Linked DNA regions of Macaca mulatta. The protein of the gene in region 1 interacts with the protein of each later gene in a biochemical or structural test. Links are inferred from orthologs where the notes say so. Each region holds a gene or a part of one and is shown on either strand. Other genes may lie near its edges. The genes, in order: CHML, RAB1A and RAB5A.

Region 1 (3,831 bases):
CAACAAGGTGGTAGGTTTCATTCTCACTGAAAAACCTTGGGTAATCTATTTATAGAGGGTTTTATAACTATCTGGAATCCCAGGTTAAAAAGGCTTCACTCTGTTTCTCCTTAGGAATTTCAGAACAGCCCTTATGAAGTATCTTCTCCTGGGGCACTTCATTTTTCCTTTTGGTCTAAGTTACTTGTTGGAAGCTCTTTAAGTGCCAAAGCAGGGCTCTGCAGAAATTTTCTGAAGTATTAAATGAGAATAAATCTTATCCTTCAAATTTTCTTTGCAATCAACCTCCCCAAAATGAGTTTTTCAACTACTAATTGAACTCCAATTCTTTTTGTAAATCAGAACACTGTGGTGGCGTCATTGCCTCATCAGTTACAAGAGTGAAGTGGGTATTATAAACTTCAGACCTTCACAATGAATAAAGCATCATGCAAAGCTAATCTTTTAACGATTATAGACAAACGTATTTTATTATCATATTGGCATTTGTATTAGTTGCTATTCCTACCACCATGTCTATACATTTATATTATATGCAAAAGATCCACATAATTTACCATTTGTGTGTGTTTCACTATTCGAACAGGCCGCAGCAACTATAATAGCTGTGAAAGTAATTATTACTTGGGTATTACTAATTGTTCTGTAGACAAAGATAAAATCTGAAGATCATTAGCAAATACAACATTACCTTTAAGCTGAGTTGTTAATATGGAACCCTTACATACATACCCAATACTAAAATACAGCTAACTCTGTTTTAAGATTATGGGTCATGTAGCCCATTCTAAACAAAATGTTCAATAATCAATAAATCACTCATTGATAGGTTAACAAAGATATTCAATGCTGAATGTCTGAGAGTTAAAGACAACATCTGCATAGCATTCAACATATATAACCACTTCTAATTACTCATATGGGAAACTGTCCTTTAAATGAGAATATTCTGATGCCATGAAGGAGGTCCAAAACAGCATTTCCAGATTGCTCTTTTCTAATTTTGAAGGTGCTTCTCTGGGCTTTCTTGGTTTTTGCCTTCCTCAGAGGACTCTAGTGTGGCCACTATTACATTATTGGTTCCAGAAGACTCTGGCTGCTTATCATCGCCATCAAAGATAATGTCTTCTGGATTTGGAGGTGGAGGGCAGAATTCTTCAGTTGGAAAGATCTCCTGGAAAAGTGTTTCAGCTTGCTTGACGGCATGCTCATTTCCCAGGCCACAGTCAGGCCCAGAGCAGACATAAACATTGGAAGGCAAGCCATTATATGAGCTTCTGCTGATTCCCGAGGAATCTCTCATATTAAAATAAAGAGCCCACAAGAGTCTTGGCTTTGTAAGTTCTTCCTTGTTTATTTCTGTTTCAGTATATGGAGTGAATAATTTCTTCACCACTGATTCTAAGTCTTCTCTTGCTGTTTTAGAAGATGAACATGTCAAATGTACCAGATAGGTGTCCTTCATGCATGTCATGGTTGAAGAACATAATTCAGTGACCCGTACAGCACAAGCTCCTGGCTCTGCTGGAGGAACTATCAGAATGGAAGTCTGCTGATCTGAATCTGTCTTTAGTATAGACTGATCTGTAATGAGTACTGCCCTAGAGATCTGCTTATACTGCACATTTGAGCATGTTTCCTCAGAAAGGTAACTGTCTTCCACAATAAAATATTTAGCATTTATTCTTTGACCAAAGTGATCTATAATTGCTTTACATCGTCCAGATTCTTTGTCGACTACAAAGCATTGTACTTTATGACGAAGACAATAGATTCCACCAAAAACTGCACACATCCTACAGAAACATTGGGGAATTTCTCCTTGGCCATACAAGGGAAATAAAAAGGGAGTGTTGCCAAACCGTCCGAGACACTGAAGGAAGTTTTTAATTGCGTTAAGGCCATCTATTGTAGTGCAAGATGATTCTGATGTCATTGCAATTGAGTGCAGTACAAAATGTTGAAGGTTGGGAGTTAGTTTTTTAGTTTTTAAGTATTCTGAAAATGAACACTGCCTGAAAGCTTGGTATTCATCAGGATGTTGTTCATACTCTAAACAAAATGTGAGAAATTTCATTAGCATCCTCTTTTCAACCATGGTGAGTTCCTTGCTATTAAAGACATCTGCTCTGGAACAAGGCACTTGTTCTACCTTTCCTTCCCGAAATGCAAGAATCCTAGTGACATTTTTGAATTCTACGTAACGACTAACATCTGATTTGATTAAAAGATCAATTAGCAATCCTTGAGAATATAGCAGTTTTGATACCAAATCAATATTAAACCTCCTCCCTTCTTTAACTATTTGAAGGTAAGTAATCCTATTTCTAATTGGTTGATTGGCATTATCTTCTACTGTAGATTTGCTTTCATCTTTATTTCCATCTTTATCTGAAACTGTGTGCATACAAGTTTTATCTCCACAATACTTTTCCTTCTCCACTGATTCCTCTACATCAGTTACTTCCAGTGAAATCTCTCTATCACTTTTCTGAGTGTGTTTGGCAGACATTTCATCGCTATTAAAATTTGATGACTGGCTGTCTTCAGGCAAGCCTGCGGAATCCAGAACTTCAGTGAAGGTACTAGACACCCCTGAAGAAGGATTTTTCTGCAGAGCACCAACCTCTTCAACATTGTCCTCCATATCCTGACTGGCATAACAAAAAGCTTCTGTGTGTTGGATAGTTTCATCCTTCTTGCGAAGAGAGATGGCTTCTTCTGTTTCATGGATCAGGTCCTGCCATTCAACAGTACTTTCTTCCCCAATGTCATTGTTTTGCTGATGCTCCTTCAACCAGGTTAGCAATCCTGAAAAGCTGAAACTAGCCCAGTTGCCTCCATAGTAACTTCTTGAATCAATATGCAGAACCCTCTGACCAATTCTTGAACATGCAGCTGCAAGGATGGATTCGGGCAAACCTGTCCCTATTATAACCACATCAAACTCTGTGGGAAGACTGTCCGCCATTCTAGGAAGTAAAAGTGTCTGGTGACAGTTGCTGATGAAAGAAATGAGGTGGGATTATGCTGTAATAAAATCTGTCCTTCTGATGTTCCAGTTTATCCCAGAAGCAATGAAGTTGCAGGTCCTAGCTGTTTTAACAGTTACCCTTTTAAAATATATTTTTTTCCTTATAAGTCAGTAGCATAAAAACATGAGCAAGTACATCTAATCACATCTGAGAATACTAAAATGGATGTGTGGTTTCATTTCTGTATTTCATCTTAGCAGTAAATGTCAAAATGCATCATATATGCATTTGTGACTGGAACTCTTCTCTGAAAGAAGAAAATTCAAGAAAGAATACATTGTAAACAATATAAGAGAAAAATAATTTCATGCAACAATGACAATCCATTGGAGTATGACTTCTTATTTGGACATAAACCTCCACTAAAGCATGTCTTAAATGCTTTCTCACATATTTTCTAATTTCTTGAAAATGGACAATAGAGATATAACAGCCCTCCCAAGAATCAGGCAACATAGTAATAGAGAATGAACATAATGTTCCACAAAAATAAAGAAGAAATAACATAATACAATTCTCTAACTTTAGCTTTTAAGAAAACTATCATGTGAATAAATCTATACACAGCTGTGAGCTTAGACTAAAAGGAACGTATGGCTCCATTGTTTATAGAAACAGATTATACATTAGGTACATACTGCCATGATTAAAAATATTTCTGTGGCCATTACAGTCTGTGTGTGATTCCCGAATAGCTGAATATAAGACCTTTTCATGCCACAACCACCTTAGGATCTCATGATAGCAACATGAGACTATTTCTACTCAATTACTAGTAAGATTATAATAAAAGGAT
Region 2 (3,600 bases), on another chromosome or scaffold:
TCGGGAGTTTGAGACCAGCCTGACCAACATGGAGAAACCCCGTCTCTACTAAAAATACAAAATTTGCCGGGCGTGGTGGCACATGCCTGTAATCCCAGCTACTCAGGAAGCTGAGGCAGGAGAATCACTTGAACCCAGGAGGCGGAGGTGCCGATGAGACAAGATTTGCGCCATTGCACTCCAGCCTGGGCAACAAGATTGAAACTCCCTCTCAAAAAAAAAAAATTATTTTTTTTTTCTTTTTTTTTTCTTTGAGACGGAGTCTTGCTCTGTCGCCCAGGCTGGAGTGCAGTGGCCCGATCTTGGCCCACTGCAAGCTCCGCCTTCTGGGTTCACGCCATTCTCCTGCCTCAGACTGAGTAGCTGGAGCTACAGGCGCCCACCACCACGCCCGGCTAATTTTTTTGTATTTTTAGTAGAGGCGGGGTTTCACCGTGTTAGCCAGGATGGTCTCGATCTCCTGACCTCGGGATCCGCCCGCCTTGGCCTCCCAAAGTGCTGGGATTACTGACCTAAGCCACGGCGCCCGGCCTATATCTAAACTTCTTAAATGCAAGGATTATATTTCTAAATCCTAGTACTAATAGAATGCCTTTCATGAAAATGATGCATACAACCTGAAGAATGCTCATACAGTTTTCCAAATTCTTTTATATACATTTGAATTTCACCACTACCCTGACAGGAATAATGACTCCAATTATCCTATTTTACAAAAAGGGAAAAAAATTCAGAGGCTAAGTAACTTGTCAAAGTTCTCAACTAATCTTGAAGATTTATTTATAGTAATAAACATACATATATATAGCAAATTCAGAAAATTTCCTGAACAGTAGAGGTCTATAAACCTCGATAAAGCAGTAAATCCATGTTCTTTATTGTTACCAAGAAAACTACTAAATGAAGAACCTCAAGTTCAACTCCATTCAACTGTGCAAAACCAACTTTGTCCTTGGAGCCCTTGAAAAAAAAAATTTGTTTTAAACTGTCAACACAGCAAATGTCACTACAACAACACTATCCTTAACTTCTAAAGCATGAAATTCTAATAAAATACTATGGTTTCTGTATAGTGCAAGAGATTTCAGCATCAAGCCACAGTATTACAAAACTTGAAGAAAGCATTTTGCAAGAGCCATGTGACACACATATGACAGTCAGCTAAACTGGTGAGTGGACCTTTTAGGGGGAAATGTTTAGCAGTAATTGACCAAAGCAGCAAATAAACTCAACTTTTACAACAAATACTGATTTTCCCCCATCCCTCAAAGGCCTTTGACACTGAAAAGGAATACCAATTCGGTCTCTTACAATTATTTATTACTTTACATACATGTAAACTGTAGAGGAAATTTTTAAATGGCCACTGAGGAGAGTCCAACAAACTCTACCCAAAGGAAGTGAACACCAGTTCCCAGGAAAGGTGCCAGGTGTGTCACATCTGCTGTGGTGACTTCTTGAGTAAGCAAGAAAAAGAAATGCATTAACTTTTCATGACACGTCATGGAACCTCATTCCCTATCTGCAAGCATCCAAGCAGGTAATCTAAAACTACATACAGATCTATCATAGGTCCCATTCGTTTCTCTTTCAACTTGACAGCAAGCTTCCTTTAATCTGCGAGTATCAGAAACACACTCCTTGGCTTTAGTTGTTTTTTTGGGTTTTTTTTCCCTTGACCTACAGAAGACAAAATGACTTAGGTGTCCTCTTTAAAAAAAAAAAAAAAAAAAAAAAAAAAAAAAAAAAAACTCACAAATGCCCAGGTTTTTAGGAGGGCAATGGACCCGGCGAGCTCTTAAAGAACTCGTTCAAGGCACAACTCAAAAAGAGAACTAAAAAATGTTCAGTTGCTTCTCCCTATCTACTCATTCCCCTCAATCCCACGCAGTCCCGAAAAGCATCCATATTACCTGAAACCTGGCGGGGAGGATGGAAGAAGAGAGAGCCAACAAGCTCAGGATTTACAAGTAAAGCTGGTTTCCACCCCGAGGATCCTGACAGCTCCGCAGAGTGCGGGCGCAGGGTCTGCCAGTGCCCTCTAGAAGGGTTCTCCCACCCCATCCCCTCCTCTTAGAAACAAGTCCTCCTTCAAAAGTCACTGCCTCCGAGACAAGCTACCTCTTCACACCGCCTCAGGCCCCTGGGCAGACTTCCTAAGCACCCGCCCCGCAGTCAGGCCCTCCAACCGGACCCGGTCCAGGCCCGGGCGGCTCACCCCTCCGACCCGACCCCTCCCCCGCCCGGCCGCCCCTCCGCGTCAGACAATGGGGCCCGACTCCCGGCCGCCAGCCTCTCCTGACCCATCACCCTCGCCTCACCCCAGCCGATGCCCCGACTTCCGCCCCAACCCTCCTCGCCCCCTTTAAAATCCCCCAAGCTGGCCCACGGACCCAGCCGACCGGTGCTCTCCTGAACTCACTATTCGGGATTCATGCTGGACATGTCACTGCAGCTGCCGCCGCCGCCACCGCCGCCCTTGCTGCCGCAGCCGCTGCCTTGACTCTCCGCGCCACGGGTAATCGAAAGAAAGGAATGAGATAGGCTGTTCCGGGAGAGCAAACGTCTTCCCCTACTCTGTCCCCTAGAACACAATCAGCAGCCGCCGCCACTCAGCTATCGCTTCCACCCAAAATGGCCGCCGGCGAACCAGGAAATAGGGAAGCCTTAGACCGAGGGGCCTTTACACAGCCCAGAGGGCGGCCGCACCGCCTGGCATGCCGGGAAAGGGAGTCGCGAGTGCAGCTACGCGAGCTGAGGATAGACAGTGAGGCGCTGAGGCCAGGACTCAGCTTCCCGCCAAGCGCCGCGCCTCTGGGGCATGCGTACTTGAAGGGTTGTCGTCCGCCCCATTCCCCACTCCCTCACCTCCCCACCCTCCGCCCCTCCCTGTTCCCCTCCCCTCTGACTCGCTGGCTAGGACTTCGCTCGGACTCCCCCTGGCGGATTGGCTAAGACCGAGCGGCCCTGGTGATGTCATCAGTGAGACGTGGCAGCCGGGCGAGTCAGCGCCCCACGGAGGAGGGGGCGGAGAGGGGCGGAGGGTGGTGCAGGCGGCCGACGGAGGCTGGGGGTCGCGGGAGGCAAAGGACCGGAGGGAGTGGTCAAACTGAGGGACTGCCGGCGTGCGGGAGCGGAGAGGGGGTCGGGGGACACGCGTGTCGGCTCCTGCCTCCCATGCGACTTTTGCTGACCTGACCAGCTTGAGGCTTGCGCCACCCTGGTGGCGCTGGTTGGAGGCTGGTCGGAGGACGTCCGCTCTAAGGACAGAAGGGAAGTCAAGGGGCTCCCTGGACAGCACGGAGCAGTTCTTTACTTCTCGTCACTCACCCAGACCCACCTCTATTCGGTCATCGTCCATTGTTGGCCCCGCGCACTACCATTTTCTTATTGGATTTCTTCCCATTCTTACTGTGCCCCGCTCTCGTCAGCCTGGCTATTGCAGTAGTCTCCAGATGGACTCTACCTCTCTCTCTCTCCTCCGCCCCAGCCCATTTGCACACACAGTCGAATGTATCTTTCTGAGACAGCAACTCCATCGTGACCCCACAACCTTCAATGGCTCCACATCCCATGGATGGGAGAGGCACAGCCCAGAGC
Region 3 (3,349 bases), on another chromosome or scaffold:
GATGTGTGTCAACTACAAATTCCAAAGAAAATTTGTCCGATTCAAACTATTCTAAATACTGCATTTATAACCCTGAGAATGTAGAAACATTTCCAGCAGAAACGACTCATCATAAACCTTGCAGTGAAAAAGTAACTGACAGCCCAACTAGTGTCAATGGTGTGGCAACAAATGAAAAAGAATCAGGCACTAAGAGTTTCTATGAAGGTGCAGCTGAGTACGTTAGCCATGAACTTGTAAATGCTGCTTTACTGGCTGGCTCCAGAGACAACATTACAGTTATGGTAATATTTCTCAATGGAAGTGAGTATCAGCTTCTGACATAAAAAATAAAAGTTCCAATTATCCAGAGCACCAAAATATAATACCATAAAGCAATTCTTGAATGATCCAGATATTAGGACGATTCATCAATAACATGCAAACAATTTTATGAACACAGTAAAGAAAATATAAAAGCAGATATTAGGTCATATAATATCATTTATATATGTTCACTGTTTTATGCCAAAAAAAAAAAAAAGAAAGAAAAACCAATACTTGCTTTTTATACCACTTTATTCCAACCTGAGCACCTCAATATAAAACTAAACACTGGTGAACCGTTTTCCTAATTCTGCATTATTGTAAATGTACAAGTTCTCCTAGCAGTCCAACACTTAAATAGACTAAATCATCTCTGACACATGGTAGCTTTCATATAATGAAAATACCTAAAATAATTAGTGCAATATACTGAACTGATCAAAATAAAATGAACTTTGGAAAAGAAGGCTGCAAGATTGTTACTAACATATTGCAATACTTTATGTTACAAATTACGGGTACATTGTTTATTATAGTTCTAGCCATGGAGGAACAACTGAAGCCCCTTCTTGTCCAAGGGGGAGAGAGAAATAATTAGCTATTTTAGTAACTGTACATTTTGTATACTTTTAAGCAACTCTTAAATATTACAGAAAAGTAATACAGATATGGAGACTACAATGCAGTACCCTATTTACAGTACAGCTGAAGATCGAATTTAAAATAATCAAGTTTGAATATACATAATTGTTAGTGCATTGACTATATTATGTCAAAAGGGAACAAAAGCCCCCTCCCTGCCCCAAACAACAAAACCTATGTAATGGCCAGCAGTGATTAATCGGAAATCAGACACCTGGTTTATTTCATTTTTGTTAAAGAACTCACATGTTTGAAAGGAACACTATCCATTAAGGTGCATTTATTAGTTCTCAAATTCTTAAAACAAGATGGGATTGCATTTGATTTTTACCCCATTTAAAAAAAAAACGGGACTGGCTATAATTAAGATACCATTAATACTCTTCCCCACCCCCCGACCTTGTATATGTGGGATTATTTTCTTGTGGCTAATTTATTAAAATGTGGAATGTACATTTTAAATACAGATACCAGGAGAAATGAACATTTGCCTGAATACTATGGCTAAGCATCATAAATAACTTTAGAATCTCCTTCTAAAAAAAGGACGTTTTTGAAAAGCCCAAATTAGTAAGATCCAAATTTTTTTTCACAGGTGACTACTGTACCAGTGTGGAGAAATGGGCTGGTTAACTGTGTGGGTCCAGACAGTCATCTGTCTATATTCCTAGTGATGAGAAATCATTCCTCCTAACCTTCCAATGAAACAAGTGTCCACATAGTTCTCATTTTTTCCCTATTGTTGAAACATTAGTGAGAAGGACCCATGCATGTTATTAAAAATTAAGTTCAAAACACTTAAAATAATTCTGTATTAGAAACTTGACTCTATCATAAGTCTCTTCTTTTGGAAGTCATACTGGGCTGGTTAAATGCTCCAATTCCATTGTTATTAACATTTAGGAAGCAGAAGACTATTCCAGCTAGTTCAAACTAGAGGTTTAGTTACTACAACACTGACTCCTGGTTGGTTGTGTGGGTTCGGTGAGGTCTACTCCTCTTCCTCTGGCAGAATTTGCTCCTGGATTTTGTGGTTCATTCTTTGGCAATTTTTTAGCTGAAAGAAAATGATCAAATAAATGGAATATTTGAATAGTCATATTAGTATCAGTTTCACCTGCTATTTGTAATTTTTCTTTTCAGTTAGGTTACCCCCAAAGTATTATATAACCACATGTTCATTCTTTTCAAATGTTTACTATCTATTAAATGCCAAAACATTGGTTGCTGTCTTAGGGAGTTTGATTTCTGGGGTAACTGTGTTGGGGGAAGGGTAGATGGGGACTGGCTGTAGACACAATTAAAACTTAAGCCTGACTAGTGCTTTATGTAATTCTCTACACAGATTCACTCAGTAATACCAGAAAAGTTGTATTTTATTTTATACTCATTATTACTTCTTCTTCTTCTTTTTTTTGAGATGGAGGCTCGCTCTGTCACCCAGGCTCACCTAGGCTGGAGTGCAATGGCGTGATCTCAGCTCACTGCAACCTCCACCTCCTGGGTTCAAGCGATTATTGTGCCCTGGCCTCCTGAGTAGCTGGGATTATAGGCATGCCCCACCACGACCAACTAATTTTTGTTTTTTAGTAGAGACGGGGTTTCATCATGTTGCCCAGGCTGATCTTGAACTGCTGACCTCAGGTGATCCACCTGCTTTGGCCTCCCAAAGTGCCGGGATTATAGGCATGAGCCATGGTGCCTGGCCTCATTATTACTTCTATTTAAAAAAAAATCTAAGTTAATAAACATGATGGCCAGCCAGTAAGCTTATCAGTAAGTTTATAAAGAAGCTCAGCTCATATCAGCATTCTCCAGGCTGCCACAAACGCTTTTTAGAACAAGTCAGGATAGAAACAAATACCATTGTAATCATCACCTCAACAAAACTTGTCCTCTATTGTGCAACTAATTATCACCCCGAATTATGATAGATCATATCTACTATTTCCTTCCTGGCTTCCACAGCCTTTGGCCTTAAAACATCTATATACATTTTCTCTCTCACACTCTCTTTTTTTTTAAGAGACAGGTCTCACTCTGTCACCCAGGATGAAGCGCAGTGGTGTGATCATGGCTCACTGCAGCCCTGAGTTCCAAAGTGAGATGGGGTCTCACTTTGTTGCCTAGGCTGGTCTTGAACTCTTGGGCTCAAGGAATCCTTCCGCCTCAGACTTCCACGTGCTGAGACTGCAAGTATGAGCCACCATGCTCGACCTCTTAGTTTTTAAAAGAGAAACTTACACCTTGCAGAGTAACCATCAGCTGCCTTGAAATAAAGGGGAAATAGGTAAGAGTTGGATTTTTGAGAATGAACAATTACAATCTATGCTTTGGGCAAAGGACAGATAAGACCCAAGTTAGATGCCTGCATGTGTCAAAACGTAGCATACTGGAGGAA

The links.
Region 2: the proteins of CHML (region 1) and RAB1A form a complex in vitro, tested with the Homo sapiens proteins (2 studies listed by BioGRID). The link is inferred for Macaca mulatta from reciprocal best matches to the Homo sapiens genes CHML and RAB1A.
Region 3: the proteins of CHML (region 1) and RAB5A form a complex in vitro, tested with the Homo sapiens proteins (2 studies listed by BioGRID). The link is inferred for Macaca mulatta from reciprocal best matches to the Homo sapiens genes CHML and RAB5A.

What each region holds. Positions count from the first base shown.
Region 1 is NC_133406.1:7,462,444-7,466,274, reverse strand, and holds CHML (rab proteins geranylgeranyltransferase component A 2), read right to left. Parts: upstream 2,972-3,831; coding exon 998-2,971; 3' UTR 443-997; downstream 1-442. UniProt on the Homo sapiens protein: Substrate-binding subunit (component A) of the Rab geranylgeranyltransferase (GGTase) complex. Binds unprenylated Rab proteins and presents the substrate peptide to the catalytic component B.
Region 2 is NC_133418.1:59,583,540-59,587,139, reverse strand, and holds the start of RAB1A (ras-related protein Rab-1A), read right to left. Parts: upstream 2,627-3,600; 5' UTR 2,446-2,626; coding exon 2,423-2,445; intron 1-2,422. UniProt on the Homo sapiens protein: The small GTPases Rab are key regulators of intracellular membrane trafficking, from the formation of transport vesicles to their fusion with membranes.
Region 3 is NC_133407.1:28,577,296-28,580,644, forward strand, and holds the end of RAB5A (ras-related protein Rab-5A), read right to left. Parts: intron 2,008-3,349; exon of another isoform or gene 2,006-2,007; coding exon 1,890-2,005; 3' UTR 556-1,889; downstream 1-555. Other genes in the region: PP2D1 (protein phosphatase 2C-like domain-containing protein 1), read left to right, coding at 1-326. UniProt on the Homo sapiens protein: The small GTPases Rab are key regulators of intracellular membrane trafficking, from the formation of transport vesicles to their fusion with membranes.